Linked DNA regions of Diceros bicornis minor. The protein of the gene in region 1 binds, or shares a complex with, the protein of each later gene. Links are inferred from orthologs where the notes say so. Each region holds a gene or a part of one and is shown in the gene's direction. Other genes may lie near its edges.

Region 1 (7,148 bases):
TAGAAAAGGAAAAAAAAAAACCCCTCTGCTGACTACCTGTTACCTATAGGATAAATCCAAATCCAATATTACTGACATTGGAAAACCCTTCACAATCTGGCCCATCTACCACTTTAGACTAGTTTTCTGCCACTTTCTACATATTCAATGCTCTACCCTCAATTAACTTTTTACTGTTCTCCAAATGTACCAGATTTCAGCGTATTCGTTGGGTCAATGATTAGGTCTGCCCACAAAGTCCTGTTTAACCCAAATACACATGATGTGTTGGTGGTACTCAATCTAAAAGACATTAGGTATTCCCAGCTTCTTGAAAGAGCAAAGTGAACTGCCTTCTCTGGTACCTTGCCAATCGCCCAGACAACCTCCCATACAATATCTTCTGCCTCTACCGCTATAGGACATTGGTCTTTCAAATAATTCCAGTAAGATCAGGCGAAATATTAACAAAGACAAAAACCAGTTTTGATCTCGATTTTATAGGTTTTGCAGTATAATCTCAATTTTGTAAAAACATACAAACCAAAAAGAGTATTTATGCCCAGGAAAAGAGAAAAAGAACAGGAAGGAAATTCATTAAAATGTAAACTATGTGTATTCCCAAGTGGTGGATTATAGACAATATTTCTCTCTTTTTTGTGCATTCTCATATTTCCTTTTTAAAAATTATGTATATAATGTACATGTATAAATGTGTAAAAATATGTATAAAATGTATATAATTTAAAAAATAGGGGGCCGGCCCCGTGGCTTAGCAGTTAAGTGCACGCGCTCCGCTGCTGGCGGCCTGGGTTCGGATCCCGGGCGCGCACCGACGCACCACTTCTCCGGCCATGCTGAGGCCGCGTCCCACATACAGCAACTAGAAGGATGTGCAGCTATGACCTACAACTATCTACTGGGGCTTTGGAGGGAAAAAATAAATAAATAAAATCTTTAAAAATAAAAAATAAAAATGTATATCAAATATATGTACTTTTTATTTTAAAGCCAAAAACAGAAACAAATGCAGTATAACAGTCACACATGTCAATAAAATAGAACCCTACAGAAGTTCTCCACACACCACCTCCTTGACCATGACCCTCAACCTCCTCCCCAGAGGTAACTCCTAATTCCTGATAATCAAGCCTTGTTTTTCATGTTTCTTTGTTTGTGTTTTGCCCCTAGCTATGCATCCTGCATTTGAATATTGTCTGAGTGGAATCACATCATTTGGGTTCTGTTTCTTTCTCTCTCTCTCTCACTCTTGCTCCCTCTCTTCTTTTGCTTAACATGATGTTTTTGAGATTTCATCCATGTCACAGTGTGTGGCTGTGTATTTTCATTGCTATAGAGTATTCATTCCACTGAACGGATATGCCACAATATATATTTCCAGTTTACTTTAGATGGACTTGGGGTTTTTGTTTTGGGCACAATGACACATCACGTTGCCATGAACATTCTTAAACGTTTACCTTGTTTACAATGTGCATGCACAAGTTTTTCCAGGGTTTATACACAAGATTAGAACTGCTGGGCCATAGGCTGTGTTTATCTTCGACTTTATTAGATAGTGCCAAACTGTTTTCTAAAGCATTTGTACCATTTATACTCCCACCAGTAGTGTATGAGAGTTCCTACACTCCATATTTTTATCAAAACCTGATATTGTCAGTGTTTTTTTTTTAACACCTTTTTATTGATGTATAATAGGCATTCTTTTCAAAGACTGCAAATTAAAATTTTTGCCAATCTGGAGTTTGTAGTGGTGCCCCACCGTGGCTTCAACTTGCATTTCCCTGATTGCTAATGAGGTTAATGACTGCTTAATATATTTATACTTAAAAACAAAAACAGAAAGTGAAATTTAAGTAAATACGCTATTTACAACACTGACAAAAATGCATCGTACTTTTTCTTTTTTCTTGGAAGTGCATAGACCTTAGGACAGTTTAACTCTACTTACCTACCTCCCAATTTATATCCAGGGTGATTATATACACCAGTTTGCCCAGCAAAGTCCTGGTTTACGCTTGTTGTCCTTGTGTAACTATCAATGTCTCACTCTTTCACTCTTGAACTGTCCCACATTGTACATAAAATAATATGGTCATCCTACTCATATGTCATTGTATTATGTATTTTTATTCTCTCTATCTCTGTCTCTCTCTGTGTGTCTCTGTGTCTCTCTCTCTCTTATATGTGTCCTCCCAAAATTCATATGTTGAAGCCCGAACCCCCAATATGATGGTATTAGGAGAAGGGACCTTTGGGAGGTGATTACGTTTAGATGAGGTCATAAGGGTGGAGCCCCTGTGATGCAATTAGTACTTTTATAAGAAGAGGAAGAGGTGCCAGAGCCTCCTCTCTCCACCATGTGAGCACACAGCAAGAAGGCAGTGGCCTGCAAGCCAGGAAGAGGGCCCTCACCAGAGCCTCCTCTCTCCACCATGTGAGCACACAGCAAGAAGGCAGTGGTCTGCAAGCCAGGAAGAGGGCCCTCACCAGAGCTTGACTATGCTGGCACCCTGATCTCAGACTTCCAATCTCCAGAACCGTGAGAAATAAATTTCTGTACTTTAAGCCACTTAGTCTATGGTATTTTATTATGTCAGCCCACGCTGACTAAGACAGATATATATCTCCCTCAAGACATCATTATATTGTTTCATGCAGTCAATATTCATTTAGACTTACCCATCTGTTTACCGTTTCATTAGCCTTCAATCCTTTTTGCATCTCTGGTCTTCCCTCTGGGATCATTTTTCTTCTGTCTAAAGAACTCACTTTAGTATTCACTTCAGTGCAGGTCTTCAAGAAACTCATCCTGTCAGTTTTTGTTTGTCTTCAATCTTGGAGAATATTTTCAGTGGGTATGGAATTTCAGGTTGGCAGTTATTTTATTTCAGCACATTGAAATTTGCCCACAGGCCGTAGTTTGCCAACCCTTCTTCTATCCAATAAGTCTTTTTTTTTTTTTTTGGTGAGGAAGAGCGGCCCTGAGCTCACATCTGTTGCCAATCTTCCTCTTTTTGCTTGAGGAAGATTGTCCTTGAGCTAACAATTGTGCCAGTCCTCCTCTATTTTGTGTGTGGGATGCCACCACAACACAGCTTTATGAGCAGCGTGTAGGTCTGCAACCAGGATCCAAACCCGTGAACCCCAGGCCGCTGAAGCAGGCTGCCAAAGTGGAGCATGTGAACTTAACCACTATGACCCTGGGCCGGCCCCCAAATGATATTTTTTTTAAAACTTTTTAAAAATTGAGATATAACATATGTACAGTAAAGTGCACAAATCTTAAGTGCGCAGCTTGATTAATTTCTGCCTATGTCTAAGCCCATCTTACCCCAACCCAGATCAATATACAGGATGTTCCCGACACCTCAGAAGTCCCTCTCATGTCCCGAGTCAGTAGTCCATCCCCCAAGGGTGACTACTATTCGGACTGCTGGAACTGTAGATTAGTGTTGCTTAAAAAAAGAAAAAGAGGGGCCGGCCCGGTGGCGCAAGCGGTTAAGTGCGCGCGCTCCGCTGCGGCGGCCCGGGGTTCGCTGGTTCGGATCCCGGGCGCGCACCGATGCACTGCTTGGCAAGCCATGCTGTGGCGGCGTCCCATATAAAGTAGAGGAAGATGGGCACAGATGTTAGCCCAGGGCCGTCTTCCTCAGCAAAAAAAAGAGGAGGATTGGCGGATGTTAGCACAGGGCTGATATCCTCACAAAAAAAAAAAAAAAGAAAAAAAAAAAACCCCAGATATCTCTGATAATCTCCTAGTTACCTAAATATAGTGAAGTTTCCTCTGGCATTGATTGGTGGCCAACGCCTCCTACTTGCAATTCCAAGCTTATCCTGTCTCTTGTCTAGCTTCCCTTTTTCCCATCCTCTAAGTTTAGATGAATACCAATGTCCTAGTTATTAATTTATCGATTCTGGGAAACTACGTTGTAATACCGGAGCGGGTCTCTGCACACCACGTTTTCTCCTTTGGCAGCTGGCTCGATGTTAGGCTCTGCCGATAGGGGGTGCTGGAGGACTTTTCTGCTTCCTGTTTGCTTGTTTGTTTCTGCTTCCCATTGCTGCGATGGATGGCTTGATCGGCTTGGTGTGCAACTGGCTCCCGTGGCGTTCTCCGGGCGGTGGGCTGCTCTTCCAGCTCCTCAGAGCCACCTTGGGCGCATGACGTGTTCTTGCAGCAGTCGCCCCATCTCCTTAGAGGTCTGAATCTCAGCTCGGCGGGGGCGGGGGCGGGGGACCTCCTCGAACTTTCTAAGTTCCTTCTTCGTTCACTTTTACCTCAGCCCTGGAAGTGGCAGCCTCTTTCCGCAGTAGTTATTTCTGTTAGACGTTTGAGTTCGCTACATTTCAGTAGTTAACCACCCGTTGCCTAGTTAACAATTCTTTATATTCAACGTTACCTGTTCAGATCACTGGTGTGGTTCCTGTTTCCTGACTGGACCTTGATTCTGATTTTGATCCTCCCCGCTCTGTCTCTCTATCCCTCCCTTATAAATCTCTCCCAAATCCATGACTTTCAAATTTATATCTCCAGCTGTAACTTTCTCTAAGATTCCAGTTTAGCATGATCAGTTGTAAGCTTGCTCTGATTTTCTTCCACCACTTCCTTCTCCTGCTGTGATATTGTGATTTATAATAAATATATATTTGGTCTTCTACCATTCCTGGCACAGAGCTCCTAAAACCCTTGGAATTTCCTGGATAAGAGCCATGAAAGTGCCTTTTGTTATGTTAATGAAGTGACTTTTGGAAAGCCCTTAGGTAACAAGAATGGGGCTGGTTGCCAGGGGAACCAATCAGGAGATTAGAGGATTGGAACTTTCAGTCCCTGGAGGCCTGCCCCCATTCCTTACCTTGAGGGAGAAGAGAGAGGCTGGAGGTTGAATCAATCACCAATGGCCAATGATTTAATCAACCATGACTATGTAATGAAACCTCTATAAAAACCCCCAAAGGATGGGATTTGGAGAGCTTTCGGTTTGGGGAACGTCTGGAGGTGCTGGCAGAGTGGCCCCTTGGAGAGAGCATGGAAGGTCCGGGCCCTTTCCCCACACCTCGCCGTGTGCATCTCTTCCGTTTGGCTGTTCCTGAGTTATATTCTTCTATAATAAACCGGCATTCTATTAAGTAAAATGTTTCTCTGCGTTCTGTGAGCCGCTATAGCAAATTAATTAAACCCGAGGAGGCGGTCGTGGGAACCTCTGATTTATAGCCAGTTGGTCAGGTCAGAGGTAGAGGTAACAACCTGGACTTGCAGTTGGCATCCTGAGTTGGAGGGGGTCACTGGAACCTCCAATTTGTAGCCATTTGGTCAGAAGCACAGATGATAATCTGGACTTGAGACTGGCATCTGAAGTGCGGTGGGGACAGTCTTATGAACCCTTAACCTGTGGAATCAATGCTATCTCCGGGTAGGTAGTGTCAGAATTGGGTTAATTGTAGGCCACTCAGCTGGTGTCAGAGCATTGTTTACTGGTGTGCGAGGAACCTCTCCACACATGTTGAAATTGGTGACTAGAACCCCAATTACTTGTGTTTTTCACTTCTGTCAAATACACAGTCCCATCCTCCTCCTTTGCAAGTCACAGACCTGAGTCATCTTTGAATACTGAAGCCACAGAAGAGCGAAGTATCAGTTATGGCATCCTATCTTTTAATTCTATCTTATCTACAACAATCTTGTAATTGGCCCTCCCTTTCCCTTCCCACCGTGACTGCCTTAAGTCGGGTACTCATTACAGGTCTCCAGTATATAGACTCTACATATGCTCCAGATACACTACTTTATACCTGGGGAAGTGCAGCTCTAATCATATCATTCTCCTCAAAAACCTAGGTGGCTCCCCATGTTCTAGTAAATAACATCCAGACTGCTTTGCCTGACCTTCAAGGCCCTCCACGAAATGGAATCAGCCAGCTTTTACCAAATCACTCCATTCTATGCTCTTTGCTCCAGCCAAATTGAGTGACTTGCTGTTTCCAATGCATCTCTCAAATTTCTTTACCTTTGTGCTTTTGCCTGAGAAAGCCCTTTGGAGCTTCCCCATGAAGTCTTCCCGAATGCATCCTTTTGTCTAGAAAGAAATCCCTCTGTGCCTCTACTTAACTCTCTAAACAGTTGACCTACACCTGTTCCAGCATCTTTTCTGTCATATCTCAGTATCCGGTGGGGGCAGGTCAATTATACCTGGACCTGGCCCCTCCCTAGTTGTGGGACAACAGCTTAGGGGAGCTGGAAAGACAGTGAGAGTGGACATATCAAGGGGCTTGAGGTCTAAGAGCAAATTACCATTGATTCACAGACAGAAGCAGAGGATAAGGGACCCAGGATGAAGTAGCCGGCATCCTCAGTAAATCATAGTAATCCCAGGAAGGTGAGGTTTGAAAGTGCAGATTATTTGGCATCAGGGAACGTCATCCAGAGGAATGAACAAGGCACCATCTAGTAGCTACAATTCGGTGACAGTTCCCCACTTCGTGCAAGGACCTCAGGCCAAAGAAAAGATATACTGTGCAAGTTACTAGAACCGAAAACGAGGAGCAGAGGCCAAGGTAGAATCCAATGATAAGATCTCGAGCCCCTAGTAGGGGACTGAGATGTTAAGCAAGTTTCCAGAACAGGAACTCAGGTGCAGTGATGAAGTCAGAATCTTGGATATAAGAATTAAGGCCCCACAGCCCGGTGGCGTAGCGATTAAGTGCATGCGCTTGGCCGCTGGCGGCCTGGGTTCAGACCCCGGGCGCACACTGATGCACCGTTTGTCAGGCCATGCTGTGGCGGTGTCCCATATAAAAAGTGAAGGAAGATGGGCACAGATGTTAGCCCAGGGCCAATCTTGCTCAGCAAAAAGAGGAGGATTGGCATGGATGTTAGCTCAGGGCTGATCTTCCTCACAAAAACAAAAACAAACAAACAAGAAAATTAAGGCCCCCATGTCAGAACCAAATGATGAGGAAGGGCAGCTGGGTGCTTATGTCCAGACTTCCAGGGGCTGGAGTCTGTTAAATTCATCCTGGGACCTGGATCAGTATTGATTTTACAGGTGTAGGCAAGACCTGACACATTCCTTTCTCCCTTACAATTATTTGTGCTGTATATATATGTTACCTCCTCCACTGGTGTGCGTGTTCCTGAGGCCAGAGCT
Region 2 (6,293 bases), on another chromosome or scaffold:
AAAACGAGACATATCTGCCTATCAGGCTGGGAAACTTCCCCAGAGCCCCTCCGGGCAATCGCCTAAGACTTCACGATGTTTAGACAAGCCAGAGCTGAAGGAGATTAGCAAAGATGCATGGAATCGCACTGTATTTGGAGGTCCTAAGCCCCTTCCCCACTTCCCTCATATAAACAGGTTAGGAGTGACAAAGCCAGGAGTAAAGCGAGGCCATCAAACTGACTTGGGTGTCAACGTCGCCTCCCTGGCGGCCCCTGCCGGCCTGTACGCAGGTGGGTCCCCTGTCTGCAGCCTCTACAGTCGCCTGGGGAAAGCGCCCTCAAACAAGCCCCTCCTGCGCCGCACCTTGCTCGAGGTCTCCTGGCCGAACGGCAGGATCACCGGGTAGCATTCCCCCACTACACAGCTCTCTCTCCCATACCATTTTCACCGATCTTCTTAGAATCCAATATGCCACCCATCTCCCTTCCAGAGCCCCGGCGGCTCCAAAAAGTGCCTTTACTCAGAAGCCAGGGCTTATCTCCCGGCTGCGACCGGGTCGCAAGACACCCTCCCCAGAGCCACAGCAGGGCCAGGACGTTGAGCAGGACGCTGCCCTGCGCCCCTGGCCGCCCTGCCGGCTAATTCTTGGATTTCCACCGTCAGGGGTTCGAGTACCACCGCCGGTTATTCCGGGGTCCAGACGCTCACCTGCTCCGCGCAGCTAACTTTGTGCAGCTGGCCCACGGGTAGTGCGGGGGCCGCGAGCTTTGGCCCGGCCTTGGACTTCGCCCGCACTTCGCCGCCCTGCATTCGGCGTCTGAGCTCTTACACAAAACGTCGGCGAAGAAATAAGACTATTCACACCCGGCAAGACCCCAGCGCGCCACACGGGGACTGCGTTTCCCGCGTTCTGACTGGCCTGCAGCGGCGCTTCCCTATTGGGCGCCGGGACATCCCCAGCCCCGCGGTCTCGGAGGCCAGACCCAGGGCCCCACGGGCGAAGAACTGCCCCCTCTGACGCGAGGCCCTCCTGTCCAATCGGAGGCGGAAATACCGCTTGCCCTAGTTTACACGTAAGCTGCCATATATATGTTCAGGGACAGAGGCCTCGGTTGCTTAGAAGCCCGCCATTTCTAAAATGCGCGTTTTTAAGGTAGTGATGCTTCCTTTTCTCAAACGGAATCCAAAGGCAAGCGAAGGACTCTGGCGTCTTATCTCTGTACACGCAAGAGTGAGGTCACTACAGCCCTGCGCCGCACTCCCCAGGCTCCGTCCTCAGCGCGGCGCTGGGTTACCCCCAGAGCTCCACTGCCCGCACCTCCCCTCCTCCCAAGCACCAAGCCTGAAGCCTACAACCCGGAGCCACTTGCCGGAGCAGTTGCTCCGAGTTTTCTACTAAGAGCATCCAGAAAGCCTTATCTAAAGAGCCTATGTGCATTTAGATCTGATATTTATAGTTTGGCGCTGCGTTAGCCCTTTTCTTGACGTTTTGGGGGCCCTGAAAAGGGCCTTTTGGAGTCGGGAGATAAGCCGCAGGAACAGCTCAGCCGCCGAAGCCGTAAAGGGTGCGGCCCTGGCGCTTCAGCGCATACACCACATCCATGGCCGTGACCGTCTTGCGCTTGGCATGCTCCGTGTAAGTCACGGCATCGCGGATGACGTTCTCCAGAAACACCTTCAGCACTCCCCGCGTCTCTTCGTAGATGAGCCCCGAAATGCGCTTGACACCCCCACGGCGAGCGAGGCGGCGAATAGCAGGCTTCGTGATGCCCTGGATGTTGTCCCGTAAGACCTTCCGGTGGCGCTTGGCGCCTCCCTTGCCCAGCCCTTTCCCCCCTTTGCCTCGGCCAGACATCCTTCTAACAAACCTTGTCCTGGGTGGAAAACCAAGCAGCTAATGAGTTTGAGCCGTAGTCTAGAGTTTATATGCCCTGGTAGCGGACCTGTTTGAAAACCTGAAGCAAGTGGGCGGAGCTCTAGGTCCCAGGAGACTTTTTCCTCCTCACTATAGTGAGTCGAGCAAGCAGTAACCAAAACAAGACTGATTTTTTTGTTGTTTGCTTTTTTGGGAAAACTTGTTTTGTTATTTTGCCATAAAATGGAGGACTCAATAGAATTTCTGTTGCCTTTTCTCAACGCTTAAATAAAAGTAGGCCAGATCCTATGCGCGCTCGGTTTCTCCTCCCCACCCCCCCGCCCCGTCTCTCCCTCGAGCGCCTGCGAATTCTAATTATTTATTTTTTCCACCGGAATGCCTACTTTTATATTATCATTCTCAGACTAATGTGAAAATCAATGGGAACCAGGAATGCGTTACATTTTGTTAGATTTCAAAGCAATTGCTTTGTAGCTTTCATCCGTGGATCTTTTTCAGTCACTAGTGGGGGGAGAGGAAATTTTTTAATGGTTTCTTTTTCTCCTTTGTGGCTTCGCGGAGAAAGAATTAAAATTCTTTCAAAAGTCTAACCTTCCCCCCAGACTTTTCCCTTTCAGCTTCTTCTGCGCAATTTGCAGATTTTCCTGTCTTCTCCGCCCCACCCCACGCCCGCGTGTATTTCCTTTTCAACCAAATAATTATTTCTATGGTTATTTAGTTGAAATACTGTAAATTTCTTTTTATTTCATTCAAATCTGAGGTTCTCACATCTTCCACTTAAAAATTCAAAGTTTTTGTACAATAACGGGTGCCACGATCGTAGCTTTAAACAGATTTATACTGCACGTCCTCCGTCAGGAGGCTCTCCATCCTTTTAAGAGAATCCCTGAAAATAAAACTTTCAGTAGTGTCACCGCTCTAGGAGACAAGACTCTCCGTCTTCCCAAAAGATTTTACTGCGATAAAAGGCAGCAGTATTTAGAGGATGATTTCTAACTCTTTCCCAGGCACTTAACATGTAAAGAAACGAATATTTTAATAAATTGTGCTCCCTATCCTTAGTCTTGAAGAATCGCTTTTCCGGCAGGAAAGCTTTATGGTAAATATTTATTGTATATCTAAAAGCTTATAATTTGCTATCTCCATAACACAAAAAGTACTTTTTGTTTGCTTGTTTGTTTAAAGATGAATTAACTTTGGAACACTGTTTGGCTGAAAAAAACTCCTGAATAGTCAAAATGTACCGTGTAATTTTAATCCTTGACTCACAGGGAAGAAGAAAAGTCTATCAGATCTTGAAGAGATCAGGATTCTCATAATGGTAAAATAGATTGATTTATTTGTATTTACTAAGATTAAAAAATCAAAGTTAGAATATTTTCAAGCTAGAAATCTCTCTTGCTTCCAAGAATAGAAGGACAGTGTCCAAAATAATAGTAATAACTGTTAAAAATTTCCCATGGTATGGGCAAAAATTTATGCTAAATTTACACAACTCATTCCAGGTCAACATCTTGTCAATAACTGCATCAGAGATTTGTAGGCCATTCATTCAATTTATCTAACAGTCATTGGATGCTTACTAATGTATTTAATCTTCAAAATAACACTTTGGGATAGGTACAGGGGTTCAATAACTTGTGGAAGATTAGCTGGTAAGTGATAGAGCCAGGATTTGGACTGAGACGGTCTGGCTCCACGGTGACCGCTTTAGTCGTGACAATATACGACTTCTCAGCTCCAAAGACGTTTATTGACTCCCTACCGTATATACGTTAATCATTGTTCTAGGCAATAAGGGCATATACATAAATAGTTAAAAAATGTTATTTCAATGAAATCAAATCTTTATTAGGACGGGTGAGAGGGTAAATTTGTTTTAATTTACTTAGATTTTATAATCTACATAAAATATCGCTTATTTTAATGTGTGTTTAATATTACATCACGTAGTAGTGTAATTGTATGAGTGTGGAATATGTTGAGGTAAATGAAATTACCTCAATGAATTAGTCGAAAGTAATTTCTAATTCCAAACAAACAAAAAAAAACCTATTTTGTTCCAAATGCTATGACTCCGCAATTTGGGTGTATAAGGCAAGTTGCTGCCGTTCTTCCTTTAGTCTTTTCATTATCTGGTCTTTTCATGATCTCTTAGCGCTGCAATGGGCAATGGAGGGGCTGGGAAAGGGGAAGGCCAAGCGCCACCGGAATGTCTTACGAGACTTTATTTACGTCTAGTCTCGTCTACTAGGAGACTCAGAGTCTTCGTGGAGAACGTGATCCGAGGCCCAGAGATCAATAAGGAGCAAGTTAAGGCCAAGCAGCCTCAGCGACTGAGCTGCGCCTGTGGCTTCTCCCTGGAATCCAGAGGCTCTTTTCAGGCTCATAACCTCAAAGACAAGAGATGTTAGGTTTAGGCGAAGGGAGCTTGTTCCTGTCGTCTGTGAAGATAGTCTTCATGTCTAGTCTAGCACTCTAGTTTCGCAGCCTTTAGAAGCGAAGATTGGCAGCCTGTGAGCGGCAGAACTGTGCGGGGAGTCCAGTGTCACCTGGTCTGGTTTAGAAAGTTCAGACGGCCAGCTCCGTCCGAAGCCTCTTTTGGAGCCAGCTCCTCACACTGCAAGGTAACAGCAGGTGCCCCTGGGTTTGTAGGAGACAAGGCGTTTATTTAAGGGAACAGGAAACGTACCCTGCACTGGGCAGGCCGAATTCGGTAGAGAGGTGATTTCGCTTGAGGAGCAGTGTTGCCCGCAAGCACGGGCTCTAGAGTCAGTTAGCTACCTGGCTACGACCTCAAGTGCTAGAGGCATTTCTTGCTGGAGCGCTTCGTACTTGTAGACGGAGTAGCTCTTCCGGATTTTTGTTTCTAACCACGGTTCCGTAATTCTTAAGACGTTCTTTTCCTGGGAGTGAGCGTGGACGTTGAAATCTTAGGACCCAATAAATTCAACGGAGCCCTCAAACGCGGAGCAGGCGGGTCTGGCTATTCATATGAGGGGTTATGTAAATAAGGACTAGAAGTTTGCTCTTTTGATTGGATAGAGCTGGAGAAGGCGGTCCCTGTGCCAGCGCGCTAGCTGGCCGGGGAGCCTGCCTGTCATTGGTCATCGGAGCCGAGGATGTTGCGGCGCCCAATGGGAAGGCGCTGCCTAGTATCAGCAAAGTGTTGGTAGAGGCAGTTCGGGTGTGGTACATTGCATTCCCATTCTCCAACCGGGATCGCTGGGGGCTTTTTTCCGTCGCTGGAGTTTTAGGCGAGAGGTGAACATGTCTGGTCGCGGCAAGCAGGGCGGCAAAGTGCGGGCGAAGGCCAAGTCCCGGTCGTCGCGCGCGGGCCTGCAGTTCCCAGTGGGCCGAGTGCACAGACTGCTGCGCAAAGGGAATTACGCGGAGCGAGTCGGCGCTGGGGCGCCGGTGTACCTGGCCGCGGTGTTGGAGTACCTGACGGCGGAGATCCTGGAGTTGGCTGGCAACGCTGCTCGTGACAACAAGAAGACCAGGATAATCCCTCGCCACCTGCAACTGGCCATCCGCAACGACGAGGAGCTAAACAAGCTGCTGGGGAAAGTGACCATCGCTCAGGGCGGCGTCCTGCCCAACATCCAGGCCGTGCTGCTGCCCAAGAAGACGGAGAGTCAGAAGGCGAAGAGCAAGTGACCCTGACGCCGCCACGGGGGAGCTGGCTTCCCCAGCAAAGGCTCTTTTCGTAGCCATCCCAGAATGTTTTTGCATATGCTCTTGTCACCGAGGGCCGGCTAGATCTAGCGGGGAGGTGGGCGGCGAGGGCCCCGCCAGGGTCGGAGGCCAATAAAGTCGGTGAAAATCGTGTGGTTGAGAGAGCTATGTAGTCGCGGGGACCTGCTGGATGACCCCGGGGGGCGACCGGGAGACCTCTGGAGCAGGTACTGGTGGGTAGGCTTGAGCCACTTTCTAGACTGCTTTGGTCAGCACCCTCGAGTTGTTATGGGCGGATGGGGGAAACCGGGAGGGACCCACTGGTCTGGAAGTGGGCAGAGATGGGAGCTCTCCCTACTCGCCTTAAGGCAAAGGAGAGGCAGAGTAGGTGCGGGTGAGGCAAGGGGGATTATTTTTAGGGCCCCTTTCCAGGGCCTTTGCTCTCCTGTCTTCTCTTGGCAGTTCAGGACCCAGTGTGAGGAAAGAGATGGTGGCGGTGAGTTGGTCTCGTGCAGGGAGTTGGCTCTCTGGCCATACTTTTCAAAAGGTGGACTAACTTTCCATCTTGGAAGAGTGGCTCTGATGACACAGTGTCAACTTAACAGATTTTTCTTAGCCTAATAGTTGTTGTGTTTTCATGTTTTGGGTATCAGATATTTTTATATATACACTTATGTTCACATTTCTTTAAAATGAAGGAGACATTCAGTAGTATGTGTAATACAGAAGCGTGAGTCATGAGGATGGAAATTTGTTC

The links.
Region 2: the proteins of SCML2 (region 1) and histone H2A.J are in contact, whole or in part, in a crystal structure (PDB 4EDU), measured with the Homo sapiens proteins. The link is inferred for Diceros bicornis minor from reciprocal best matches to the Homo sapiens genes SCML2 and H2AJ. Residues at the interface, in NP_006080.1 of Homo sapiens: Asp182, Asn185, Tyr187, Leu188, Cys190, Phe206, Trp209, Phe213, Pro239, Pro240, Gly241; in NP_808760.1 of Homo sapiens: Leu35, Arg36, Lys37, Gly38.

What each region holds. Positions count from the first base shown.
Region 1 is NC_080781.1:15,228,331-15,235,478, reverse strand, and holds the start of SCML2 (sex comb on midleg-like protein 2), read left to right. Parts: upstream 1-4,085; 5' UTR 4,086-4,164; coding exon 4,165-4,203; intron 4,204-7,148. UniProt on the Homo sapiens protein: Putative Polycomb group (PcG) protein. PcG proteins act by forming multiprotein complexes, which are required to maintain the transcriptionally repressive state of homeotic genes throughout development.
Region 2 is NC_080756.1:46,450,806-46,457,098, reverse strand, and holds histone H2A.J, read left to right. Parts: upstream 1-4,994; 5' UTR 4,995-5,128; coding exon 5,129-5,518; 3' UTR 5,519-5,689; downstream 5,690-6,293. Other genes in the region: histone H4, read right to left, coding at 1,526-1,837. UniProt on the Homo sapiens protein: Core component of nucleosome. Nucleosomes wrap and compact DNA into chromatin, limiting DNA accessibility to the cellular machineries which require DNA as a template.